7 linked regions of the Macaca fascicularis genome follow. The protein of the gene in region 7 interacts with the protein of the main gene of each other region in a pairwise test. Links are inferred from orthologs where the notes say so. Each region holds a gene or a part of one and is shown on either strand. Other genes may lie near its edges. The genes, in order: MKRN3, TRIM39, DTX3L, RNF138, BIRC7, RNF167 and UBE2K.

The links.
Region 1: the proteins of UBE2K (region 7) and MKRN3 interact in binary tests that used the Homo sapiens proteins (3 or more experiments, as listed by UniProt). The link is inferred for Macaca fascicularis from reciprocal best matches to the Homo sapiens genes UBE2K and MKRN3.
Region 2: the proteins of UBE2K (region 7) and TRIM39 interact in binary tests that used the Homo sapiens proteins (3 or more experiments, as listed by UniProt). The link is inferred for Macaca fascicularis from reciprocal best matches to the Homo sapiens genes UBE2K and TRIM39.
Region 3: the proteins of UBE2K (region 7) and DTX3L interact in binary tests that used the Homo sapiens proteins (3 or more experiments, as listed by UniProt). The link is inferred for Macaca fascicularis from reciprocal best matches to the Homo sapiens genes UBE2K and DTX3L.
Region 4: the proteins of UBE2K (region 7) and RNF138 interact in binary tests that used the Homo sapiens proteins (3 or more experiments, as listed by UniProt). The link is inferred for Macaca fascicularis from reciprocal best matches to the Homo sapiens genes UBE2K and RNF138.
Region 5: the proteins of UBE2K (region 7) and BIRC7 interact in binary tests that used the Homo sapiens proteins (3 or more experiments, as listed by UniProt). The link is inferred for Macaca fascicularis from reciprocal best matches to the Homo sapiens genes UBE2K and BIRC7.
Region 6: the proteins of UBE2K (region 7) and RNF167 interact in binary tests that used the Homo sapiens proteins (3 or more experiments, as listed by UniProt). The link is inferred for Macaca fascicularis from reciprocal best matches to the Homo sapiens genes UBE2K and RNF167.

Annotation. Positions count from the first base shown.
Region 1 is NC_088381.1:5,418,420-5,422,575, reverse strand, and holds the start of MKRN3 (E3 ubiquitin-protein ligase makorin-3), read left to right. Parts: upstream 1-1,356; 5' UTR 1,357-1,465; coding exon 1,466-2,667; coding exon of another isoform or gene 2,668-2,989; exon of another isoform or gene 2,990-3,247; coding exon of another isoform or gene 3,248-3,269; exon of another isoform or gene 3,270-4,156. UniProt on the Homo sapiens protein: E3 ubiquitin ligase catalyzing the covalent attachment of ubiquitin moieties onto substrate proteins.
Region 2 is NC_088378.1:142,316,204-142,319,703, reverse strand, and holds part of TRIM39 (E3 ubiquitin-protein ligase TRIM39), read left to right. Parts: intron 1-41; exon of another isoform or gene 42-61; 5' UTR 62-195; intron 196-466; 5' UTR 467-473; coding exon 474-926; intron 927-1,967; coding exon 1,968-2,063; intron 2,064-3,500.
Region 3 is NC_088376.1:160,683,290-160,687,528, reverse strand, and holds the start of DTX3L (E3 ubiquitin-protein ligase DTX3L), read left to right. Parts: upstream 1-1,439; 5' UTR 1,440-1,493; coding exon 1,494-1,680; exon of another isoform or gene 1,681-1,860; intron 1,861-2,934; coding exon 2,935-3,146; intron 3,147-4,239.
Region 4 is NC_088392.1:57,762,737-57,766,236, reverse strand, and holds part of RNF138 (E3 ubiquitin-protein ligase RNF138), read left to right. Parts: intron 1-1,838; coding exon 1,839-2,004; intron 2,005-3,500. UniProt on the Homo sapiens protein: E3 ubiquitin-protein ligase involved in DNA damage response by promoting DNA resection and homologous recombination.
Region 5 is NC_088384.1:119,341,141-119,345,077, forward strand, and holds the start of BIRC7 (baculoviral IAP repeat-containing protein 7), read left to right. Parts: upstream 1-1,137; 5' UTR 1,138-1,563; intron 1,564-1,897; exon of another isoform or gene 1,898-2,060; 5' UTR 2,061-2,086; coding exon 2,087-2,435; intron 2,436-2,521; coding exon of another isoform or gene 2,522-2,715; exon of another isoform or gene 2,716-2,806; intron 2,807-3,890; coding exon 3,891-3,937.
Region 6 is NC_088390.1:5,062,335-5,064,384, reverse strand, and holds the end of RNF167 (E3 ubiquitin-protein ligase RNF167), read right to left. Parts: intron 1,332-2,050; coding exon 1,260-1,331; intron 1,170-1,259; coding exon 1,089-1,169; intron 1,013-1,088; coding exon 711-1,012; 3' UTR 501-710; downstream 1-500.
Region 7 is NC_088379.1:38,999,319-39,003,423, forward strand, and holds the start of UBE2K (ubiquitin-conjugating enzyme E2 K), read left to right. Parts: upstream 1-1,305; 5' UTR 1,306-1,320; coding exon 1,321-1,394; intron 1,395-4,105. UniProt on the Homo sapiens protein: Accepts ubiquitin from the E1 complex and catalyzes its covalent attachment to other proteins. In vitro, in the presence or in the absence of BRCA1-BARD1 E3 ubiquitin-protein ligase complex, catalyzes the synthesis of 'Lys-48'-linked polyubiquitin chains.

The sequences.
Region 1 (4,156 bases), on a different chromosome or scaffold from region 7:
ATAAGTTTCACCAGAAATTATCTGGCTTCAATAAGCTGTTTAAAGGATTTTACTTAATTTATTTCCCTTATTTAATATTTGTTTTTCTTCATTGCTTTTCTTGGCCTTATTATTTGCTTCATTCTGCTTTCTTTGCTTTTACCTACCTAATTATAATTTAATTTGTTGACTTGGGTGATTATAAATATTCAGATATGTTTCCACTTTACAGATTTAGGCAACAAAATTTCCTCAAAGAAACTTACAGAAAAAAAAAAATCCAATAATATATAAAACGATATATCATGACACAGAAGGGCTTCTTATTAGAAACAAATTGGTCAGTTAAATATTTGAAACTCATAGCTGCAAATAATCACATTAAGAGAATAAAGGGAAAAACAAGATTATCTCAAAAAATATATAAAACTACATGACAGAATTCAGTATGCAGTCATGATACGTACTCTCAGCAAAGTAGGAATACAAAAAAATGATTAATCCACTACACGTATCTGCAAAAATGACAAAACGCTTATATATGGAAATTAAAGACCATTCCTTTGTGGATAGTATGCCACAACACAGCACAGATGGGGTTGAAAGAAAGCAAGAGAAACAAAGGGCTGCCATGAATTAAACCAGTAGAGAAAATAAAAGCCTGGGTCATGCAGGGGACAGTGCCTTATTCAGCCAGCATCAGGAATGATTGAAGTCTGGGGCTTCTACACAGTGGGAAAACGAGCATAGTAATCACAATAAAGAAAGACATCTGAAAGGTGCTAACTTAGCCTCGGATCAGAAGCGCTGTCTGCTAATGCCTTGCTGGTGAAAAGCGTATCCTGCGTAAGCCCTCAGAAATCCCAGAAAACAAAGACCAAAAGAAACGACGCTTTGTCAACAGAGCAAATCGAAAAAATCTTCCAGCAGTGACAGGGCATTAAAAAAAAAAAAACGCAGACATAAGATGGAGTGAATCAAAAAAGGATTTATCTAATTCATGTATGAAATGTTTCAGAATCTATTGGATTCTAATTTTTTTAAAGCAGACAGATACGAAAATACAACGAAGACGTGCATGACTGAAACCAAAAGAGATTAAAGTAAAACCTCATTCTCCTGAGGAAACGGTGTGAGGAGGGAATTAGGGGCTGCCGGAACACAGCGAAGCAGAGGCAGAAGGCAGACAAAAGGGGCTGGGTTGGTCCCTGCCTGTGTGAACAAAAAATATGTCAGATTGGAAAATTGCGGTAAAATCCAAGCGCGGCGCGTACGTTGCCCCCACAGGAAGTGTCCGCCGCGCTGCCTGTGCCCGGAAGTAGGTAGGAACACACAGTCACAGGCAGCCAAGAACCGGGGGGGAAGAAAAAGAGATGCACACTTCCCCTAGAGAAGCCTCCGAGCGCGGCCGCGACTCCGGGCCTCAAGCCCATAAAGAAAAAATACCGGAGACGTTCTGGCACCATTTCGGGGTAAAGAAGCTGCCATGGAAGAGCCTGCAGCTCCCTCAGAAGCCCAGGAGGCAGCCGGGGCCCAGGCAGGTGCTGAGGCAGCAGGGGAGGGTGTGTCTGGGCCGGACCTTCCCGTCTGTGAGCCCTCCAGGGAATCTGCTGCTCCAGATTCGGCCCTGCCACATGCGCCTGTGGGCTGGGCCCCCTTCCCTGTAGCTCCAGTCCCTGCCCACCTCCGCACAGGAGGCCTGAGGCCTGCACCAGCCTCAGGAGGAGGAGCATGGCGCAATCCGTTTCCAAGCCGAAGCAGCGGCATTTGGACAAAGCAGATCATCTGCAGGTATTATATACATGGGCAGTGCAAGGAGGGGGAGAACTGTCGCTATTCCCACGACCTTTCTGGTCGGAAGATGGCCACTGAGGGCAGCGTTTCGCCGCCTGGGGCCTCTGCAGGTGGAGGCCCTAGCACGGCTGCGCACATCGAGCCCCCGACTCAGGAAGTGGCGGAAGCCCCCCCGGCTGCATCCTCCCTTTCCTTGCCTGTGATTGGCTCGGCTGCTGAAAGGGGTTTCTTTGAAGCCGAGAGAGACAATGCAGACCGTGGAGCTGCTGGAGGAGCAGGTGTAGAAAGCTGGGCGGATGCCATTGAGTTTGTTCCAGGGCAGCCCTACCGGGGCCGCTGGGTTGCATCTGCCCCCGAGGCTCCTCCACAGAGCTCAGAGACTGAGAGGAATCAGATGGCTGTGGGCAGGGGGTTGCGGTTTTGCTATTATGCTTCCAGGGGAGTTTGCTTTCGTGGGGAGAGCTGTATGTTCCTCCATGGAGACATATGCGACATGTGTGGGCTGCAGGCCTTGCACCCCATGGATGCTGCCCAGAGGGAAGACCATATAAGGGCCTGCATTGAAGCACACGAGAAAGATATGGAACTCTCGTTTGCTGTGCAGCGTGGTATGGACAAGGTGTGTGGCATCTGCATGGAGGTTGTCTATGAGAAAGCCAACCCCAATGACCGCCGCTTTGGCATTCTTTCCAATTGCAACCATACCTTCTGTATTAGGTGTATCCGCAGGTGGAGAAGTGCCAGACAGTTTGATAACAGGATCATCAAGTCTTGCCCGCAGTGCAGGGTCACCTCCGACTTGGTCGTTCCCAGTGAGTTCTGGGTGGAGGAGGAGGAAGAGAAGCAGAAACTTATTCAGCAATACAAGGAGGCAATGAGCAACAAGGCCTGCAGGTATTTTGCGGAAGGCAGGGGTAACTGCCCATTTGGAGACACATGCTTTTACAAGCATGAATACCCTGAGGGCTGGGGAGATGAGCCTCCTGGGCCAGGTGGTGGGTCATTCGGCGCATACTGGCATCAACTTGTGGAGCCTGTGCGAATGGGAGAGGGCGACATGCTCTATAAAAGCCGTAAGAAGGAGCTTGTCGTGCTTCGACTGGCCAGTCTGTTGTTTAAGCGGTTTCTTTTACTGAGAGATGAGTTACCCTTCTCTGAGGACCAGTGGGACTTGCTTCATTATGAGCTGGAAGAATATTTCAATTTGAATCTGTAGCATTGTGCTGTGGCATGTGGTCTAGTCTGCTGAGGTTCTGTCGTCTGCTATTGCCTGTTTTCCCTGTGTTGACACTCTTATTGCTTTCAGGGGCTGTTGAGGCAGTGCTTCTGTTTTCTTGTCTATTCTGCATATCTTTCCTCCTAGGATTATGGTGATTATCTGTGTTTAAAAAAATAAGTCCTTAAAGTTACTGTTTTGGTGAAATTAATATTAATGTCAGCTTATGGCTTTTTTTGTCATCTCTGTTTTCAACAGGATTAACTCAGTTCTAGTGTAGTGTTTACTGAATTTCCACACTTATTTTGAAGACCCTCAAGAGTAAATGTGGCAGAGTGAAAGGAGAAGTTTTAATTGAACTAGTAGCTTTGTGCTATAATAGCCTTAACAAATGGACCCTCGCAGGGTCTTGCAGCTGCTCATCTGTTTACAGTTTGTTCTTTCCCTCCTTCCCCTTCAAGTGCACTTGTTAAACTGTGATGAACTTGTGATTTTGTGTTTTACTTGACCAAAACCAAGTGTATATGTTTACATGTTTTTATCCTGTTTAGCTTGACATGAAATAATTTATATTTGGAAATATATATTTAAGAATGATATATATATAATATATATGTATAAGAGCTATGTATTTGAAAATATATATAAAAGAATATACATCACAATATTTATGTTTATGTAATAAAGTAAATACAGAGCCGAAAGCTGAAGGTCAAAGCCTAACAGGATTGGCTGTTGTGTGGATGTGAGTTGTGTGAATAATCATTCTGTCCCTTGCACAGAAGCCAGTAATTAGCATCTAATGAAAAGGACTGTTCAAGTGGGTCTGGCCAAATGTAACAGATGCAGATCTTAGAGGACTTACAAAGCACTATATTGGTAATTCTTACAATGGCATTAATAGCTCACTCTATAAAAACAGAAATTGTGTTCCTACGCAGTTTTGCCACCTTCTCAATAATTCTTTGTAACAGCAAATCCTAGGCTCAGAGGCACAGTGCTTTGTATTTGATATACAAAGTCTCTAGACTTTCCCAACAAGGGGCTTTAGACAAAAGATTTCAACATAAAAGTAACAAGATTATAAAAGGGAAAATAGAACAAAAATACTAAAACCAGTGAGAATAAAATAATGGAAAGATAATAAAATATAGAAAGCACTAAAAA
Region 2 (3,500 bases), on a different chromosome or scaffold from region 7:
TAAGAAATGTTAATATTTTTATGACATTTTTTACTTCTCAGATTCCTTTCTTATCTATTAGAAACGTATGTCAAACGAGGATACAGTGGTCTGGAACTATTGGTTCTAAGATACAAGTGGAATGAACCTGGATCAGGAGAAGTATGCTGAGCTAGAGTTGAAGGAAGCTGCTCTTTCTAACAAGAGAAAGCAGAGGTAAGAGACAAGATAGATAAATTGGGGGTTGTGTGTCAGTTTACTAACAAGAAAAAAAGGTTAATGGCTGGGAGTCACAAGTTTTGGAAATGGAGAAACAAAGAGATTGAATTGATTGAAAGAGAAGATGGAGAATAACAAGATTGGGCAAATCTGGAGTTAGGACTTAACAGGGATAAATGTTGGGCCAGGGATGCAAAAAAAAAAAAAAAAAAAAAAAACACCTCCAATTAATATTTTTATTTTTTCTGTCCTCTTCCCCACTCCCAAGTTAAATTATGGCAGAGACAAGTCTGTTAGAGGCTGGGGCCTCTGCAGCCTCTACAGCTGCGGCTTTGGAGAACTTACAGGTGGAGGCAAGCTGCTCTGTGTGCCTGGAGTATCTGAAGGAACCTGTCATCATTGAGTGTGGGCACAACTTCTGCAAAGCTTGCATCACCCGCTGGTGGGAAGACCTAGAGAGGGACTTCCCTTGTCCTGTCTGTCGAAAGACATCCCGCTACCGCAGTCTCCGACCTAATCGGCAACTAGGCAGTATGGTGGAAATTGCCAAGCAGCTCCAGGCCGTCAAGCGGAAGATCCGGGATGAGAGCCTCTGCCCCCAACACCATGAGGCCCTCAGCCTTTTCTGTTATGAGGACCAGGAGGCTGTATGCTTAATCTGTGCAATTTCCCACACCCACCGGGCCCACACCGTTGTGCCACTGGATGACGCTACACAGGAGTACAAGGTGGGGAAGCAGACACATGATGTCAGTGTGGGTAAAAAAGGAGCAGTGGCAGAGGATGAAATACTCCCTAGGTAGAGATCTTAAGCTTCTACTACTCACTTTGTATTCTCAGAGCTGCATATGCAGGGGTACACAGTATGTGTGATCAGTTGTCCTCTAGCCTGAAAAAGAACAATGGTGAGAAGTGTCCAAAAATTTCTATCTGACTTTTGCAATACATATGAGTCTTTTGGGTGAATATTATGAGTCTTATGGGTGAATATTGGTATGTGTGGTCTTGGAAGGTATCATATTTTTCATAAATGAATGAAACCACATGGAAAAGATTAAACTTAGGAGGAACTGAAAAGTCTCATTTCTTCATTCTGCCTGCCTGCTCAGAATGCTCCTTGTTTTCACATTGGTTATTGGGCATAGGTAATATCACTTGAGACTGATACCTGCCAGACTAAGCTGAACCATTCTGTTGTTTGTAGCTTCTCCAGGTAATGGTTAACATGGCACATCATTTAACTTACTGCTGAGACACAGGAAAATGTTTGAATAAAGGGAACAGAGATTAATGTGTTAGCATTTTATCATATACTTTGCTTAATTATGTTACTCTTGAAAACAAGATTTCAGGTAACTTACAGTATAATAACCATGTTTTACAGTATAATGACCATGTTTTTATTTTAGGTGGATAGAGGTGGATGGGAGGACAGGTTTAAAGAAAAATATCAGGTTACAGAAGGTTGCTTTGATGGTAGTAGGCAGTTGTCTCAGTAAGAAAGTGGAAAGAGTTGAGAAAGGACACAGAGTTGGTGACAGCTATCTCAAATTCAGTAAGAGGACAGTTGGGTGAGCAGAGAAGGTGATGTGGACAGACTGTAGGAAATTGACATCCCAAATGACAGGCAAGGAAGGAAATCAGATCAAGAGGCAGTAAGATGGCTAGGAAGCAAATAAATGGTTTAAAACAAATGGTTTAATCTCTGAATGAGAAATGTACCAGTCAACCCCAAATGTCACCTCTCCCACTTCTTCCCTACCCCTCAGGAAAAACTGCAGAAGTGTCTGGAGCCCCTGGAACAGAAGCTGCAGGAGATCACTCGCTGCAAGTCCTCTGAGGAGAAGAAGCCTGGTGAGCTCAAGGTAAAGGCAGGCAATCCCATGTAGGCTGCTCTGAAGGGTATTTGTCTGTGAGGGTATTAACTATACACTATTTAATCCACCAGTTCCAATTCATTAGTAAAATGCAGTTCTTGGCCGGGCATGCTGGCTCACACCTGTAATCCCAGCAATTCTGGAGGCCAAGGTGGGCAGATTGCTTGAGCTCAGGAGTTTGAAACCACCCTGGGCAACATGATGAAACCCTGTCTTTACTAAAAACAAAAAATTAGCCGGGCCTGGTGGCACGTACCTGTGTACAGGTCCCAGCTACTTGGGCGGCTGAGGCAGGAAAATTGCTTGAACCTGGGAGGTGGAGGTTGCAGTGAGCCGAGATCGTACCATTGCACTCCAGCCTGGGCAACAGAGCAAGATTCTGTCTCAAAAAAGAAAGAAAGAAAGAACAATGTAGTTCTCTCAAAAATTATGGTATTTTATTAGGCTTGATTGTCATTAAACATTGTACTTAAATTACTTGTCATGAATTAAGTATTAAGAGGGATTTAAGAGATGAAGAACAGACAGAATATCTTACATCTGGTGAGCTGAGAGAGTTCGTGCCTCTTGGTCTCCTTTTTTTGTTAAAGCAGCAAAGGAGGCTTTCTGCTGAGAAGGCAGGGATGGGAGTTTCTTAGAGGACTTGAAGAGAGGAGAATGTGGAAGATTCACTGGGGAGAAAGGGAAAAGGAGCTGACCAAGAGTCTCAGAAGAACTATCCAATGACATTAGGACCACATTCTTAAAACTCAAGTAAGCTTAAGTATGCTAAATGATGTTGGTCCTAGAATGTTCTTCCCCTCCCCATCCTCCACCATAGGATCCTATTCATCTCTCAGATGGGATGAAAGCCACTTCCTATGCAGCCTTTCCTGACCCTTCAGAAATTAACGTTCTTAATTTTCATACAATTTTGCACCTCTTTTATAGCATTGCCTTATTTTTAGCATGGTATTTTGGTGTCTTGTCTTTCTTCTGTTGAACAGTGAACAATTATCATTTGTAGCAAAAATAACTAGAATTGAGTCCTATGCATTAATTCATTAGATATCCATGACATAGGGTTGTTAGGGTCTTGAAGTTCAGGCCAAATTGGGATAAGTGAGACATAGAAAAGCTACGAGAAAGAGACAGAAGGAAATCCTGAGGCCATCTTTAGTAAGATGTAGGAGTAAACTTAGATATTCTTTAAGGTAGGTATTATTACCTTCAGCTTACACAGAAGGAAATGGACCTTGAGTAAGTGACTAGTCCAAGATCATGAAGCCAGTAAGTGGCAAAACCAGGAATGCTAGTTCTTCGTGAATCAGTAAATACTTGTTAAGCTCCTGGTTTAGGCCAAACCCTGTATTTGACACTGGGGAACAATGATGAGCCAAAACACAGTTCCTGCCCTCCTTGAGCTTAAAGTTAAGTGGAGAAAAT
Region 3 (4,239 bases), on a different chromosome or scaffold from region 7:
AAGAACATCTTTGTACACAGGTCACTTCACACAGGGGCTAATATAGCAATGGGACAAATCCCTAGAAATGGAACTCCAGAATCAAAAAGCATATGCTGTTGTAATTCTGACAGTACTGCCAAATTGCTCACAGTGAAGACTGACCCATTTCCAGTCTTACCAGCCATGTGCAAAAACCTTATCTCTGTCCTCTCTGCCGCCAGTCATCCCTGCTTGTAAATGTGTCTTCCACACCATTGTCAGCACCATATTTCTAAAATGCATATCTGGCAAGTCATTTTCTTGCTTTCCCTGCTTACAACCCTTCAAGTCATATTTACTGCTCTTCAAAGCTTTTCACCATCTAAATATGTGCTGTCCAGGGTGGACTATCAGCCTCACGTAGCTACTGAGGCTACATGTGGCCAGTCTGAATCGAGATGTGATGTAAGTGTAAGAAAAACACTGGGTTGCAAAGATGCAGTATGATAAAAAGAATGTAAAAAGCTCATTATGTGCTGAAATGATTAAGTTTTGGATATGTCAAGTTAAATAACATCATTACAATTAATTTCATCCGTTTCTTTATCCTTTAAAAAATATGGCTGCAAAAATTTTAGAATGAACATACTGGCTCACATTGTATCTCTGTTGGACAGTGCCCATCTAGGTAGGCCCTCCCTCCCTCATCCCCTCACCCATCTCCTCTCCTCCCAGGCCCCAGGCCCACTCTGTGCTTCAGACCATAGTGGTCCCTAAGCCTTAGGTGCTTTTCCCCCCAACCCTGTCCTCCCCATCTCGTCGCCACACTCAGTTTATTAAGATGCTGCTTGAAACTTCTCCTTGGAGGCCTTGAAGAAGTTTTGCTCCCTGGTTCACAGGTCCGCCTCCCCTCACCAGCCCTTGACATCAGGGCCTTGCTCTGCTCTTTGGGCAGCAAGAAACAATTCAGTGCTGTTGGTTAAATCAAGCAATGGAGGAGAAAAGCCCCCAGGAGCCTGTCTAAAGGGTAGAGTTGGAGGGAGGGAAGGGGTAACAGGTCACAATTACCAGATGAACACATTCAAATTTTCAAAAATGGGTAAGTTTAACATGGATTCAGATGTGAATTACTTTTTAGCATCAAATAATAGTGATAACAGCAGTAAGAGTTACAAAGAATAAGAAACACAGGAGAAACTTACTTTCTTTGCATAGTCTACTCATAAGGGAGGCCTGGCCCTGGGATCCTGGTCCGCGCCCGCCCCCACTCTCCGCCCCCCCCGTACCCCGAGCCTGCAGGAAAGGGGACCCCGAGGGCCCAGGGGCACCGGACCTACCCACCCGGCAGACCACTCGCCTCGGTGCAGACAGCACAGGGAAGAGGGGGAAGCAGCTCTGCTGGGAACAGGGAGGGACCTCCGGGGAAGCGAAACTGAAACTTTGCGCCTAGTCGGCGGGGCGGGCCGCGCCTTTACCCCAGTCCCGGCCCAGCGGCGTCCCGGAGCCCCCGCGCCCTCCCGACGCGCAGAGCCATGGCCTCCGACCTGCGCCCGCCGTCCCCGCTCCTCGTGCGGGTGTCCGGGTCCGGCCTCCGGGTACAACGGAAGCTGGAGAGCTACTTCCAGAGCTCTAAGTCCTCGGGCGGCGGAGAGTGCACGGTCAGGCCCCAGGAACACGAAGCCCCGGGCACCTTCCGGGTGGAGTTCAGTGAAAGGGCAGGTGAGCTTCGGGCGGTCGGGCTGCGAAAGCCGAAAGCCGTCTCTGGGGCCCCGACTCCCGGGTTTCCAGGCGGACCCAGTTCCAGCTGACCTAGGGGAGAGGGCGGAAGAAAGTATGCCACTGTGCGGTGGCGGACAGGGACGGGGCCCTGCTGCCAAGAGACTCACTGAGACAGGGAACACTCGGTGGAGGATAGGGCCTCACATGTGCCCGGTGCGGATCCGGCTAACCCCGCCTTAGTGTGGATGTTTTCCATATCCTCATTCTAACTTAATTTCTCAGCTGTCATCTTCCATCCTCCAGATGCCTGTCAGCTGCCGTCCTTGTCATTCAGGGATTCCACTTTTATGTTTTAAATAATGGTTCCATTGTTCCATCCATTAACAAAAGGATGTTCCATTTTGTATTTTTGAGGATTACAAAAGTGATATATGCTCACTATAGAAATAAGAGAAAAGAGTAAAAAAGAAAACAACCTGGAGATAAACAATGTGTCCATTTGGTGTATTTTCTTCCTGCCCTTTTTTACGAATGCCAGCAAACACACGTGTATTTACACAATTCGGAGTCTGCACTTTTGATACTTGCTGCTGTAACTTACCTGTATAATGAGTATTGAAATGGGAGACCAGGATGGGTGTGGTGGCTCACGCCTATAATCCTAGCACTTTGGAGGCCGAGGTTGGTGGATCACTTGAGGCCAGGAGTTCAAGACCAGGCTGGCCAACATGGCGAAATTCCGTCTCTACTAAGAATACAAAAATACCTGAGCGTGGTGGTGCGCACCTGTAATCCAAGCTACTCCGGAGGCTGAGGCAGGAGAATCGCTTGAACTCGGGAGGCAGAGAGTTGCAGTGGGACGAGGTCGCACCATTGCACTCCAGCCTGGGTGACAGAGTGAGACTCCGTCTCAAAAAACAAAACAAAACAAAAAAACAAAAAGGGAGGGAGGGAAATAAAGAAGGAAGGAAGAAAGGGGAGACTGGAGACAGTTTCAGAAACATGACGTTTAATGAGTGGACAATGTTCCATTGTCGTTAAGCTTTCACTTCTGTAGTAAAACTTAATCCGCACACTTCAGAACTCTTAATAGCTCCCCAATTTCCTCCATCGCCAACCCACCATTCCGGGGTGCAGTGAGCAGCCTTACTGGGAGGTGCTGGGGCAGGGTACAGACACAGGAATGACAGGATTACTTGAAATCTCTCCCATTTTTATGTATGTATATGTGTGTGTTTAATGTTTCTGCTGAAGCTAAGGAGAGAGTGTTGAAAAAAGGAGAACACCAAATGCTTGTTGACAACGAACCTGTGCCCATTTTCCTGGTACCCACTGAAAATTCAATAAAGAAGAACATGAGACCTCAAATTTCTTCACTGACACAGTCACAAGCAGAAACACCGTCTAGTGATACGCATCAACATGAAGGACATATTCCTAATGCTGTGGATTCCTGTCTCGAAAAGGTGAGTATTGAAAGAAGGAGCTGGCTGTACCTGCGCCTCCTCTCCAGTCACCAGCCTCATGTATTATTGATCCAACACCCATGTGCTGGGCACATACATGGGAGCCAGGCACTGTTTTAGGCACTGGACACAGAGACGAACACAACAGACAAGGTCCCTGCTCTCAGGCGGCTCATATTGGGGCCCAGGGCATGCACAGAAAGACAGTAGGCAAGTGAAATAATTAGAACCATTTTATTTATTTGGAGAGAAACAGGGCTAGGGCGAGCAAAGGGAAGATGGGGGTGGTGTTATTTCTTTTTTCCCCCAACAAGACAGAGTCTCACTTTATCACCTAGGCTGGAGTACAGTGGCATAATCATGGCTCACTGCAGCGTTGACCTCCTGGGCTCGAGCGATCCTCTCACCTCAGCCTCCTGAGTAGCTAGGACTACAGGCGCCACTACACCCAGCCAATTTTTTTTTTTTTTTTTGGTAGAAACGGAGTCTCACTATGTTGCCCAGGCTGTTCTCAAACTCCTGGGCTCAAGCGATCTGCCCGCCTTGGCCTCCCAAAGTGCTGGGATTACAGTCATGAATTACTGCGCCTAGCCTGGTTCTACTTCTAACCAGAAATCAGAGACAACTTGACTGAGGAGGTGACGTTTGGCCTGCAACTTGAATGATGACAAGATTCATTCAACAATAGATATCCACTGCTTAATGTGTTCCAGGCACTGTTATAGGAGCTGGGGAGGCAGCCAGGAACATGGCAGACTCTGCTTCTGGGGATGGCACCTTCTAGTGAGAGAAACAGACAATATTAATAAACAAATAGATATATAATAAAATGTCTGCCAGTCATACCTGCTAGAAAGAAGAATAAGAAGAATACGTGACAGACAATGACAGAACCACCATTTAAAATAGGATGTCTGGAAAAACCTCAAGTGAGATGACATCTCTAGCCAAGTGGATTTCTGGGGGGAAAATGTCCTAGAGGGAAGCATAGGTACAAAGGCCCCAAGAGCTGACATTCTGAGGCCCAGAAGCTTGAAGGAAGCCAGTGTGGTGGGAGGGCAGTGAGCAAGGGAGAGAGGTGCTAGGAACTCGG
Region 4 (3,500 bases), on a different chromosome or scaffold from region 7:
CAAGTGAAAACTGGCATCTTGTTTACTTTGCGTTATTTTGGTTTCTGGCTATGGTAAATATATTTAATTGTTATTGTGTTTTGAGGGACAGTATTGCTCTGTCACCCAGGCTGGAATGCAGTGGCACTTTCATAGCTCACTACAGCTTCAACCTCCTGTGCTCAAGTGATCCTTCGCCTCAGCCTCCTGAGTAGCTGGGACTGGACGTGCATGCTATCATAGCCAGCTAATTTTTTTTATTTTTAATTTTTATAGAGATAGTGTCTTGCTATGTTGCCCAGGCTAGTCTTCAACTCCTTGCCTCAAGCCATCCTCCAGCCTTGACCTCCCAAAGCACTGGGATTATAGGCATGAGCCACTGCACCCTGCCTAATGTTTTGGTTTGTAGTATTAATTGGTAATGACTTCTAGTGCTGTTTTAATGATGTTAGCTACCATTTGTTGAGCACTTTCCTGACTATCACAAATACTGTGTTAAGCATTTTATATGTGTTATCTATTTTAATCCTCTGAACAGCCCAGTCAATTGTAGATACTTTTAATATTTCATGACTGAGGAAACGGATTTTATAGGGGAAAACTGACTTGTTTAAAAGTGCTACATTGGCCAGGCGCGGTGGCTCAAGCCTGTAATCCCAGCACTTTGGGAGGCCAAGACGGGCGGATCACGAGGTAAGGAGACTGAGACCATCCTGGCTAACCCGGTGAAACCTCGTCTCTACTAAAAAATACAAAAAAACTAGCCTGGCAAGGTGGCGGGCACCTGTAGTCCCAGCTACTCGGGAGGCTGAGGTAGGAGAATGGCGTAAACCCGGGAGGCGGAGCTTGCAGTGAGCTGAGATCCGGCCACTGCACTCCAGCCTGGGCGACAGAGCGAGACTCCGTCTCAAAAAAAAAAAAAAAAAAGGTGCTACATGGTTAGGAAACTCAGGTTATGTGATCTGTTACTGCACCATTTCCCCTCAACTTTTGTTATGAGGATATTCATATATATTTATAGAAGATTGGATTAAATGTATATATATTCTAGATCCCAGATATATATGTCTGTAATTTAACTGGTTCTCTTGAAAGCAAAATGATCAAATAAGGTATTTGGTAGGGCTAGAGAAGATAAAAAGATTTTAGTTTGATTCTAATTAGAAAGTTGGTTATAAATGTTTAAAGCCGGAAGTATTCTTAAATATTTCTCAAATTACATTCCATTGCACAGTTTGGGAAATTTTCCTATTTCCTGACCAGATAACTTTGAGTAACACCTATTAACACGCAGATAACTTTGGGTAACACCTAACTTTGGGTAAAACCTATTAACTTTATTCTAGAACTTCCCAAATCATTTGTGTGCTCTTTTGTAGTAGACCTGTTTATGTCTTGTGGAACAACATGTCACAAATACATCAGTTTGAGACAAAAGCTTATGTCATTCATCCTTTTATTTTGTAAGGGGGGGAAATGGAGATCCAGTGTGGGTTAATTTGTTGGCCTAAGATTACACAGCTACTAAATGGCAGAGCCAGGATCCAGTTCTTCCTTTGTACCATGTTTCCTCTAGTAATATTATTAATATGTAGCATTAATATTTATTCATCATATACTGTGTTAGGAAGTTGTAAAGAAGACTTGAGTGTAATTTTTAAAACCTTACCATCTAGTCCAGTTATCAGTCTTACTCTCTGATAACTACATATACAGTTCTTAAACTTCTGAGATTTATGTGCATATGAGTAGCTTAACTTATTTAATTTGAATACATATTTATAATCACTTGTTTGTATTTATAGAGATGAAAAGAGTAATTTTTTTCTGTAATTAATGTGTCATAATGTTTGGTTTAGCTTCTGTAGAAAATGTTTCCTGACTGCAATGAGGGAAAGCGGAGCACATTGTCCCCTGTGTCGTGGAAATGTGACTAGAAGAGAGAGAGCATGTCCTGAACGGGCCTTAGACCTTGAAAATATAATGCGGAAGTTTTCTGGTAGCTGCAGATGCTGTGCAAAACAGGTAGAGTAAATGTGACATATCTCTTCTTTGGAAGCCAAGTTTCTACTCTGAAATTCTTGTTTGAATTTTCTTGGTTGCTGCTTTTTTTGTTTGTTTTTTTTTAAAAGATGAAAGATATTTAGACTGGGAATTGGATAGAAAAGGCCAAAAAAAGCTGTGGTCATAGATCTTACTAGATTATAAACTTACTGAGAAATGACACTGAAAAAAAAAATCACTGAATTTCATGATATTTAGCATGGCATTTTTCTAAAAGTAGTTTCTCATTGATTACTTACTTAAAGTAACTAAATTAGCAAACTGGCATTTAGCTCATTTAAACCTCATTCTGGTACAAATTCAACCCTTAAGTTTTTCTCATGGTAGCATCATTATTGCAGCTTTGCACATAGACATGTTACTAGTTTGGGCACATGGATTTATGTAGTTAAGGAACTCTCTAGCTGCTCACTTTACTTATATATTTATGTATTTAAGAAATCACAAGCTGCGGGCATGGTGGCTTACGCCTATAATCCCAGCACTTTGGGAGGCCAAGGTGGGTAGATGACCTGAGGTCAGGAGTTCGAGACCACCCTGACCAACATGGTGAAACCCTATCTCTACTAAAAATACAAATATCAGCTGGTGTGGTGGTGCATGCCTATAATCCCAGCTACTTGGGAGGCTGAGGCAGAATTGTTTGAACCCAGGAGGTGGAGGTTGTGGTGAGCTGAGATTGTGCCATTGCACTCCACACTGGGCAACAAGAACAAAACTGTTAGAAAAAAAAAAGAAATCACAACATATTTGGTTAATTTTAAGGAACATGTAGGAAAATCAGGTGTTAACAAATAACCAGCATTAATTCTCTAATCTGGATTTTATTGTTCTAGCATTTGGAGAAGGAATAAAATAGTGAGGGGTGGTTAGGCTTTGAGTATATCCATGTGTCTATAGATTTATCACCGACATTTTTTCTAATAGCTAATGAATTCAGAGCAAAACTGGTTGCTATTTCATGCATTCACACAAGTCAGATCTGCTTTTCCATCTTTTTGAAGGAAGTGTTTGACAGGGCAATGAATTGAAGCTAGAAAACACACTTGAGGGATTCTGGCTATTCCTCTCAGTGAGAAACTGAAAAATGTTCCAAGTATTCCTGGGAACTTAATTTTTTTTTCTTTTTTTGGAGACAAGGTCTCACTTTGTCACCCAGGCTGGAGTACAGTGGCACAGTCTTGGCTCACTGCAGCTTTGACTTCCCAGGCTTTAAGCAATCCTCCTGCCTCAGCCCCTCAGGTAGCTGAGATTACACGTGGCTAATTTTTGTATTTTTTTTATAAACGGGGTTTTACAATGTTGCTCAGGCTGGTCTCGAACCCCTGAACTCAAGCAGTCCACCGCCCCAGCCTCCCAAAGGGCTGGGATTACAAGTGTGAGCCACCGCACCCAGCTAGGAACTTAATTTTTTAAAACTGCTTTCTAACTCTGCCAGGCTGCAGAAGTTAAATAAT
Region 5 (3,937 bases), on a different chromosome or scaffold from region 7:
CTTGAGGATTCCGAGCAAACCTGGGTGCTGCATGTGTCCCTCCCCTGGAAAGAGCAGGCTGGAGATAGTGACCCCTCGTCCCACCTCCCAGGTGCACTGCGGGTGGACTGGGAACCAGGCAGCAAAATCCACCCAGCTTGAGGCCCGCGTCCTCCTGAAAGGGCCCCAAGCCCACACCCGGGGTGTTGCTGAAGTGACCAAAGGTAACCGCTGTGCTGAGGGGGCACGGGAGGACAGAGAGGGGGCGAAGGCGTGGTACCCCAAGATCATCCCAGAAAACACGTTGGGAAGTTCTACTTTGTGTCTAGCCTGACTCCTTCTCCGGCGCCCAGGCCCTTTCCCGACAGACACAGCCCTCCCCTCCTATGTCCCTGAGCTTCCTGGTGCCTCTCCCTCTGCCCCCGGCAGCCCTGGCTTCTGTGCTGCATCCTCAGCAGGGCCTGGAGACACCCCAGAGGCCTTAAGAGCCACACCCTTCACTTTGATTTCTGCAGGAAACGAGGTGGCTCTGGGCCTTGGATAGGAAAGGGTTGGGGGTCTCGCTGGGGCCCAGCAACACTGGCCTGAGTATGACCAGAACAGTCACCAGAGGCCTCCTGGGAGGGCGGGTGCAGCCCCAGCCCCCGCCGTGAGTAGGAGGAGCGGGGGCGGGTGTGAAAGTGTGGTGGGCAGCAGCAGGTCTATGCGGCTCAGCAGTGGAAAGTGAGCGGGCCAGGCTTCCAGGCGAGCTCAGGGACGGTTTTCACTGCAGCTAACCCTCTCCTGCCCGCCTGCACTCCCCGTGGTAACCAAAGGCCCTGCAGTGTGCGACTCCTCTTTATTCTTCCAAACTCTGTGAGCCTGCACGCTCCCATCCAGGACAGAACAGCAGGGGAGAGTGGCTGAAGGACGACAGGGGGCCTTTAGGGCCAGCTGGGTGGATGAGCTGAGTCTGCTAGGGTTGAGGGTTCAGTTGGGGGTCGGGGGGCATCAGTCGGGGGTCGGGGGGCGTCGAAGCCTGGGCCCCATCCAGCTGTCCTCTTTGTCCGGCCCAGGTGTCCCTGGGGTTCCTGTTGTGCCCCCGGCTTCTCTAGGGTTAAGTCCTCCTCCCCGTTCCCTCACTGTGGGGTTTAGCAGCATGGCCCAGCTGTGGAGTTTGGACTGGCAGTCGGGGTCACAGCAGACTCAGGAGCTCCGATTCCGGGACCAACACTGAATGCTCCTCTTCTGGGGACATCAGCGCCTCTCCCTTGGCTACTTGGGGAGGCTGGTATGGAGGGAAGTGGAGGGAGAAGGAGGAGGTGGAGGGAGACGCGGGGAAGTGAGGGGAGGTGGGGGGAAGGAGGGAAAGAGGGAGGAGGGAGAAGGGGGAAGGGGACGAGGAAGGAGAGGAAGAAGGAAGAGGAAGGGGGAGGGGGAGGGGGAGGGTAGGGCAGCTCAGGCCCTTCTGTCTGCTCTGATCTTCATGGCCTGAGGACAAGAGCTGCTCCCAGACCTGCGGAGGCCCCTTGGAGCAGAGGGATGTTTCAGAGAACACCCGGGTGACCTGCCTCCCTGCTCTGCATGACGCAGCACTAGGCCCCTGTGAGTCCAGCGTCACCCCTGCAAGGTGGGGGGTCACGGCCCCTGCCTGGACGGGCTGTGCAGCCCATCTGTCTTTACTTGGGCCTTCTCTGCTTCCAGAGGCTGCCCTGGGCGCCTGACCCTGGAACCTTCATCTCCAGCTCCCCAACCCCTCCCCCACAGCCCTGGGACCGGTGCCAGCCTGGGGAGGGGTCTCCATGCTCAGTTCCTTCCCGTCTTGTTCAAAGAGACACTGCCTGCCCACGTGCCATCAGCAGGATCCACAACCCTGCCAGGGGCCCCATGACACGCCCCCGCTGCACAGAGCATGTGACCCCAGAGGCTACCCTGGCCCGTTCCAGAAAGTGTGGGCCCTGGGATACTCCCCTCCCAGGGTGTCTGGTGGCTGGCCTATGCCTATCCCTGCTGTCCCTGGGGTGAGCCCGGAGGTCAGGAGCTCCAGAAGGGCCAGCTGGGCATATTCTGGGACTGGCCATCAGCCCCCATTTCTGCTGCAGACCTGGTCAGAGCCAGTGTTCCCTCCATGGGGCCTGAAGACAGTGCCAAGTGCCTGCGCCATGGACCACAGCTGTGCCGCTGGGCAGCTGGTGACGGTCCCACGCGGGAGCGCTGTGGACCCCGCTCTCTGGGCAGCCCTGCCCTAGGCCTGGACAGCTGCAGAGCCTGGGACCATGTGGATGGGCAGATCCTGGGCCAGCTGCGGCCCCTGGCAGAGGAGGAAGAGGAGGAGGGCGCCGGGGCCATGTCGCCCAGGGGGCCTGCCTTCCCCGGCATGGGCTCTGAAGAGCTGCGTCTGGCCTCCTTCTATGACTGGCCGCTGACGGCTGGGGTGCCGCCCGAGCTGCTGGCCGCTGCCGGCTTCTTCCACACAGGTCAGTCCCGGGCGGGGGGGCCTTCCTGCTGTGGGCCTGGGCACGATTCTGGACCCTTCCAGCCCAGGGCTCTGCCTCCTCCGTAGCATCCATCCCCCAACAGGAAGGGTCTGGCCGGATGATGGAGCAGGAGTCCTGCAAGCCCTTCAGTGCCCATGTGCTCCTGCCTGACACGCTCTCCCGGAGTCTCTGCTGGCCAAGTGTGTCAGACTGTGGGACATGAGGAGGGGCTGCCTCTGGCCATGGTCTGGGGGTCTCAGCTGTGGAGGCCACCAGCTTGGTGCGCAAGTACCTTTTTGTGATAGAAGTGGGTGGGGCTGACATTGCCTGGGGCCCTCACCGTCCTGCTGCTGGTCTGCACGGGGGGAGGAGATGTTTAAGGAACAGGATCACGGTGACCAAGGCAGGCGTGGTCAGCCGGAAGGTCCTGGCAGCTCAGCCTGTGGGGAATTTCTTCAGGACCCAACCTGCAGCCACTGTCTGGTCTTCCCCAACTAAATCAAGTCCCCGGAGTACCTATCCTCGTCTTGACCTGGGCCCGCTCCTCGGCCCTACAGCTGGGGACCATGTGGTCAGACCTGAGTTCAGGTCCCAGCTCTGCCACTTCCGGGCTGAAGGACAGGGCAGCAGGGCCCACTGAGGGCTTTACGAGTACTGGCACAGCCAAGGTCATTGTCAGCAGTGGGCTCTGGGAGGGCACCATCCTGGTAAGGCTGGACCAACTTAAGACAGCTGGTCGGGGGGGACAGTGGCTGGGACAGTCAGGAGTCGTGGTGTGAAGGGGCAGGCCTGGCTCACCCAACTCCCTGGAGGTCCAAGGCTCAGCAGGTGAAGGTCAGGCAGGAGGCATGGCAGGTGCAGAGCCAGGGTCTTTGGGGCTGGTCGAGGTCCAGTGCCTGATGCAGCCCAAACCTGTGATGTCAGTGGCAGGTGATATATCGCATGCCTGCCGATGAGGGGACGGGGCTGTCAGGAGGTAGAGCGAGGAGGGGTCCCCCACCCCTAAAGGGAGGCATGAGTTCCTAAAACCAAGCCTGGCCCCAGACTGGCCTTCTAGGGCAGCCTCCCTTCTTCCTCTCGCTGGGACTCATCTTAGGGAAGCAGAGACCTGGGGAGGGGCTCTTCTGGCTCCTGAAGCCTCAGGGCTATAGATGTGCCAGGCCCTGGGGGGCCCCCACTGCTTACTCTGGGAACAATGCAAATGCCAGCTCAGTCCTTTCCTGAACATTCTCACCCATCCTGGCCGGCACCCCAGACACCCTTGTCCCCTTTTCACCTTTGATGCTAGTGAGGTGCAAGAGTCCTCCCCCACCCAGCCCCCTGCCCACCCCCTCCTCCCTGTTGCCACCTGGGAGCTCCCCTCCAGTTGAAGCTCTCGCAGCCTTGGAAGGACGTACCGGGGGGGCAGGGGGCTGGATGGGGCCTGGCTGGGGCCAGCATCTCTCCGCACCCCAGGCCAGCAGGACAAGGTGAGGTGCTTCTTCTGCTACGGGGGCCTGCAG
Region 6 (2,050 bases), on a different chromosome or scaffold from region 7:
CCCCTCCTGTGTGTGGTTGGAAAACTTTTTTGTTTTTTGGGTTTTTTTTTTTTTTTTCTGAATAAAAAAGATTCTAACAAGGTGCTGTGTGATTTGAGCTTGGGTGTCAGAATGGGGGACAGGCACTGTGACTTGCCTCCTTTATCATGGCTTGGGAGCAGGAAGGTTGAGGTACTACAAGGTGCAAGAATTTGAGCTTCTGGCCAGGTGGCCCTGCCCCTCCACAGTGGCATTTCCAGGCCTAAGTCCTCAGTGTGCTGGTTAAATTGGTGGATAATGGAATAGAGCCATCTGGACCAGAGAATGGGTGCAGGCCTGCAGGCAAGGCAGGGCTAGTTGAGTCATCCTTGTGGGTGGGGCTCCCCCTGAGTCATAGCAAATGCCTGCTGGGGCTGTCCCCATGACTATAGGTTAGTGTCTCAGCATTCTCTTGCTCCTTATGGCTAAAGGGGTGATTCCCCCAAAGGGTTAAGTTCACCTAAAAATTATCTCACCCTTCCTTAGTCCACAAAAAACAATTTTATTAGCCCAAGAAGTGAAGACCCAGTCCCTTTGCTTGCCCCAGCCCCACCCCAATGCCCCTCAAAAGGATAGGTGTGGGTAAGGGAGCAACTTAGGATGGAATGTCCCCTATCCCTCAACTTAGAAGACTGGAGGGAAGAAGACGGTCTGTGCAAATAGGTCACCAGAAGTGTACATGTAGAGGGTTATTAGACCAGGATGACGGGGGAAGAGGGAGGAGAGGGTGGGGGATCTGTTGAAGGCCCAGGAAAAACAAGGGGAGCTGGGGCTAGGGAACCAAATGAGGTGGGAAGAGTGGGGCTAGAACCCAAAAGTGGGGTCCTTTCGGAAGCAGGGTGGTCCCTTGGCTCCCCTTCTTCACCCTCCTCTTGCCCCTGAGCTTCTTCCTCTTGCTCTTCGTCCCCAGGACCACGATGAACAGGCTGCTTGCAAATGGGGCAGGTCTTCCGGGTCTGAGTCAGCCAGGGGTCCACGCAGCGGCTGTGGTAGGCTGCAGAGAGGAACAAGGTGAAGCACCTGGTGGCTGCCAGTGGCAGAGGGGCATGGGCAGGCAGTGAGGGCCTCACCATGAGCACAGGGGAGTACCCGCAGCTTGTCTCCATCTTCATATTCATCCAGGCAGATGGCACAGACATCATACTGGTCTCCTGGGACAGAAAGAAAATAATCTAGTCCTTCACTGAGCCATCGTGACCCAGGGCTAAGGCTTTTAAAGCCTTGCGAAAATTTTCCCTCACCTACAAAGCCAGTGGAAGAGCTAAGACAGGTAGGCAGGATAAGGTCAGGGCAGAACATGGAAGAATTTAGGGCTAAAAGGGACAAGCAAAGAGAAGCAGAGGTAAGAAGGGAAGTGGTTTTTGGGGAGGTGTGAGGGTGGAGATACGGAGTGGAAGGGACGGAAATGGGCAGAGCTTCTGCCATAGCCTTATACGGGCACTGGAGGCCCCAGGGCCTAAAGCCCCAGCCCCACAGTACCACTTTCTTCCTTCTCTAACTGAATCCTCCCCCATTCCTCCCATTTTTCTGCTCTCCACATCCCCCATAAGCAAAGTCTGTCCCTCTATTATTTCCCACAATTATTTCACTTAATCATCTTTGCTTTACATCTCTCCCATCTTCACTGTATTTATGGGTAAAAACAAGACAAGACAGCATCTCAAGCTGAAAATTTCTTACTGCCATCTTTATTACTTTTATTTTTTTGAGAAAGGGACTCCCTCTGTTGCCCAGGCTGGAGCACAGTGGTGCAATCTCAGCCCCCTACAACCTCCGCCTTCCTGGTTCAAGTGATTCTCCTTTCTCAGTCTCCCAAGTAGCTGGGACTACAAGCGCACACCACCATGCTCAGCTAATTTTTGTTATATTTTATAGAGATGGGGTCTCACCACGTTGCCCAGGCTGGCCTGGAACTCCTGGGGTCCAGGGATTCACTTGCCTCAGCCTCCCAAAGTGGTGGGATTTTTTTGTTTCATCATGTTGCCCAGGCTGGTCTCAAACTCCTGGGCTCAAGCGACCTACCCACCTCGGC
Region 7 (4,105 bases):
TTTTGTTTTTTTTTTTTGGTATTTTTTGTATTTTTAGTAGAGACGGGTTTCACTATATTAGCCAGGCTGGTCTCGAACTCCTGACCTTGTGATTTTGCCGCCTTGGCCTCCCAAAGTGTTGGGATTACAGGCGTGAGCCACTGCACCTGGGCTTTTTTTTTTTTTTTTTTTTTTTTTTTTTTTTGAGACAGAGTCTCGCTCTGTCGTCCAGGCTGGAGTATGGTGGCACAATCTCAGCTCACCATGGTCTCTGCCTCCCGGGTTCAAGTGACCCTCGTGCCTCAGCCTCCTGAGTAGCTGGTATTACAGGTGCACCCTACCACGCCCAGTTAATGTTTTGTATTGTTAGTAGAGACAGGGTTTTACCATGTTGGCCAGGCTGGTCTTGAACCCCTGACCTCAAGTGATCCAACTGCCTCGGCCTCCCAAAGTGCTGGGATTACAGGCATGAGCCACCACTGCCCAGCCAAGACTATATACTCTTATTTCCCAGTGAATACATTATTGACAGTTTTTGAAAATACTGACTGTAGCCCCAAAAAGCTTAACTGGTTGGAGATACAGGGCAGACAAAGGATAGATAAAAATGGTAGGGGCAAAGAGTAAATGCTATGGGATTCTAAGGGTATCTGTATGAGTGAGATTCCTTTTTGTTGTTGTTTTGTTTTTGAGAAGGAGTCTCGGCTCTGTCACCCAGCCTGGAGTGCAGTGGCTTGATCTTGCTCACTGCAACCTTCGCCTCCCAGGTTCAACCAATGCCTCAGCCTCCGGAATGGCTGGAATCCCGGGATTACAGGCATGCGCCACCCTGCCCAGCTAATTTTTTTTTTTTTTTTTTTTTTTTTTTTGAGACAGAGTCTCGCTCTGTTGCTCAGGCTGGAGTGCAGTGGTGCGCAATCTCAGCTCACTGCAGGCTCCGCCTTCCGGGTTCACGCCATTCTCCTGCCTCAGCCTCCCGAGTAGCTGGGACTACAGGCACCCGCCACCAGGCCCGGCTAATTTGTTGTATTTTTTTAGTAGAGATGGGGTTTCACCATGTTGGCCAGGATGGTCTCGGTCTCCTGACCTCGTGATCAGCCTGCTTTGGCCTCCCAAAGTGCTGAGATTACAGGTGTGAGCCACCGCGCCCGGGCACTACACCCTGCTAATTTTTGTAGTTTTAATAGAGGCAGGGTTTCACTATATTGGCCAGGCTGGTCTCAAACTCCTGACCTCAGATGATCTGCCTGCCTCGGCCTCCCAAAGTGCTGGGCTTACATGGTGAGCCACCATGCCTGGCATGCCTGGACTTTTTTTTTTTTTTTTTTTTTTTTTTTTCAGATGGAATCTCGCTCTGTCACCCTGGCTGGAGTCCAGTTGCATGATCCAAGCTCTCTGCAGCCTCCGCCTCCCAGGTTAAGTGGTTCTCCTGCCTCAGCCTCCCAAGTAGCTGGGACTACAGGCGCACCCCACCATGCCCAACTAATTTTTTATATTGTTAGTAGAGACAGGGTTTTATGATGTCGGCCAGGCTGGTCTCAAACTCCTGACCTCAAGTGATCCACCTGCCTCGCTCTTCCAAAGTGATGAGATTACAAGTGTGAGCCACCATGCCCAGCCAAGACTATGTACTCTTATTTCCCAGTGAATACATTATTGATAGTTACTGAACATGTTGACCACAGCCCCAAAAGGCTTACTGGTTGGAGATACAGGACAGACAAAGGATAGATAAAAATGGGAGGGGCAAAGAGTAAATGCTATGGGATTCTGAGGGTATTTGAATGAGGGAGGTTCTTTTTTGTTTTTGTTTTGTTTTGAGTCAGAGTCTCTGTCGCCCAGCCTGGAGTACAGTGGCTTGATCTTGGCTCACTGCAACCTCCACCTCCTGGCTTCAAGTGATTCTCAGGCCTCAGCCTCCGGAATGGCTGGAATCACAGGCATGCGCCACCACACCTGGCTAATTTTTTGTATTTTTAGTAGAGACTGGATTTCACCATGTGGCCAGGCTGGTCTCACACTCCTGACCTCAAGTGATCTGGCTGTCTTGGCCTCCCAAAGTGCTGGGCTTACACGCATGAGCCACCCGACCTGGAGTTTTTTTGTTTTGTTTTGTTTGAGATGGAAACTCACTCTCACCCAGGCTGGAGTGCGGTGGCGTGATTTTGGCTCACTGCAGCTTCTGCTTCCCAGGTCAGGTAGTTCTACTGCTTGACCCAGTAGCTGGGATTATAGGCACGTGCCACCACACCCAGCTAATTTTCCTATTTTTAGTAGAGATGGGGTTTCTAGCCAGGCTGGTCTCGAACTCCTGACCTCAGGTGATCCGCCTGCCTTGGCTTCTGAAAGTGCTGGGATTACAGGCGTGAGCCATCGTGCCCGGGCTGTATGACTGTATGAGGGGGGTTCTTGAGCTAGGTGCTTTTTGTTGTTGTTGTTGTTGTTGAGACGGGGTCTCCCTCATTCGCCCAGGAGCACAGTCATAGCTCACTGCAGCCTTGACCTCCTGGGTTCTAGCAAGCCTTCCACCTCAGCCTCCCAAGTAGCTGGGTCTACAGGTACGTGCTGCCACACCCAGCTAGTTTTTACTTTTTGTAGAGATGGGGTCTCACTATGTTGCCCAGGCTGGTCTTGAACTCCTGGCTTCACACAGTCCTTCTGCCTCAGCTTCCCAACGTTCTGGGATTATAGGCATGAGCCACCTCACCCAGCCTTCTTGAGCTGAGGAAAGTTAAGACTGACCTCAAATTTCAGGAGACAGTCCCAAAGGAATTGTGGTAATATTGCGATTCTTTTTTTTTTCCCCCCCGAGACAGAGTTTTGCTCTTGTTGCCCAGGCTGGAGTGCAATGGCGCAATCTCGGCTCATTGCAACCTCTGTCTCCTGGGTTCAAGCGATTCTCCTGCCTCAGCCTCCTGAGTAGCTGGGATTACAGGCATGCACCACCAAGCTCAGCTAATTTTGTATTTTTAGTAGAGACCGAGTTTCTCCATGGTGGTCGATCAGGCTGTTCTTGAACTCCCGAACTCAGATGATCTGCCAGCGTTGGCCTCCCAAAGTGTTGGGATTGCAGGTGTGAGCCACCACGCCTGGCTGAAATTCTTAAGTAAATAAACTTTTCTCTAGGCACATGAATTGGAACTATGGAACAAAGAGATTATTGATGCACTTATTCAAGAAACACATTTACATATGTAGAACAGAAAGGTTGCACAGCTCTTATATACTCAAACATAGTTGTAGAGTTAGATCATGTTCTTAACTTTCTTCATAGTTACCTTTTGGGGAGGAAAACCACCCTTTTTCATATTAAAGTAAAACGTGTACATAATAAAGTGTGACTGGCATCCAAATCAAGAAACAGACCCTTCCCAGTACCATAGGAATCCTCCTTCCTTTCTAGTTACTTTCCTGACTTCTAATAACAGATTAGTTTTGAGTATGTTTGAGTAAAAGAACAGATGTGAGTATATGTTACGTATTTTAAGTTGGAAAGTTTTCAAAAGATGCTGTTCAAAATCTGTTAAGAAAAATATAGTGTCTTAGAAAATGTACTAAAATGTATTGAATTTCAGTGCTGAAATAGATCTAGGCCAAACTCCTCATCTATAAAATCAGGAAACTGAGGCCCAAGGAGGTTGATTGTTCCTCAGAGAAACAGCTGGTTAATGGTTGAACCCAGGCTTTTTGCATACCAGTTTAGTCATAATAAGTAGTTGGTTTGTGGGAATATCCTTTTCATAAACGATAGTGTAAAAGCTGACTGCTAATACAACTTTACAGAAGGAGATAACAATGCAGTATTATTTAAATGTGTCTTTTCTTTTCCCCCTCTTAGTATGAGAACTTAAACTTGCCAAGGAGGTAGAGATTTTTAACTCCTGAAGCATAATTTAGTGAAGTTAGCTTAGTAATTAAGAGCATGGGCTTTATAATTAGATTTGCTTTGAGTCCTGGCTTTTCTTCTTAAAACCTGAAGTACTGGCTCTGTATCTCGATTATCTTTATCTGTAAAAACTGTGGGAAGATTAAGAGTGTCTTTACAGTGCTTAGAATAACCTTGGGACATAATTAAACAGATAGCTGTTAGATGTCAGAAGTAGCTATGTTTTCATATTCTGTTGTG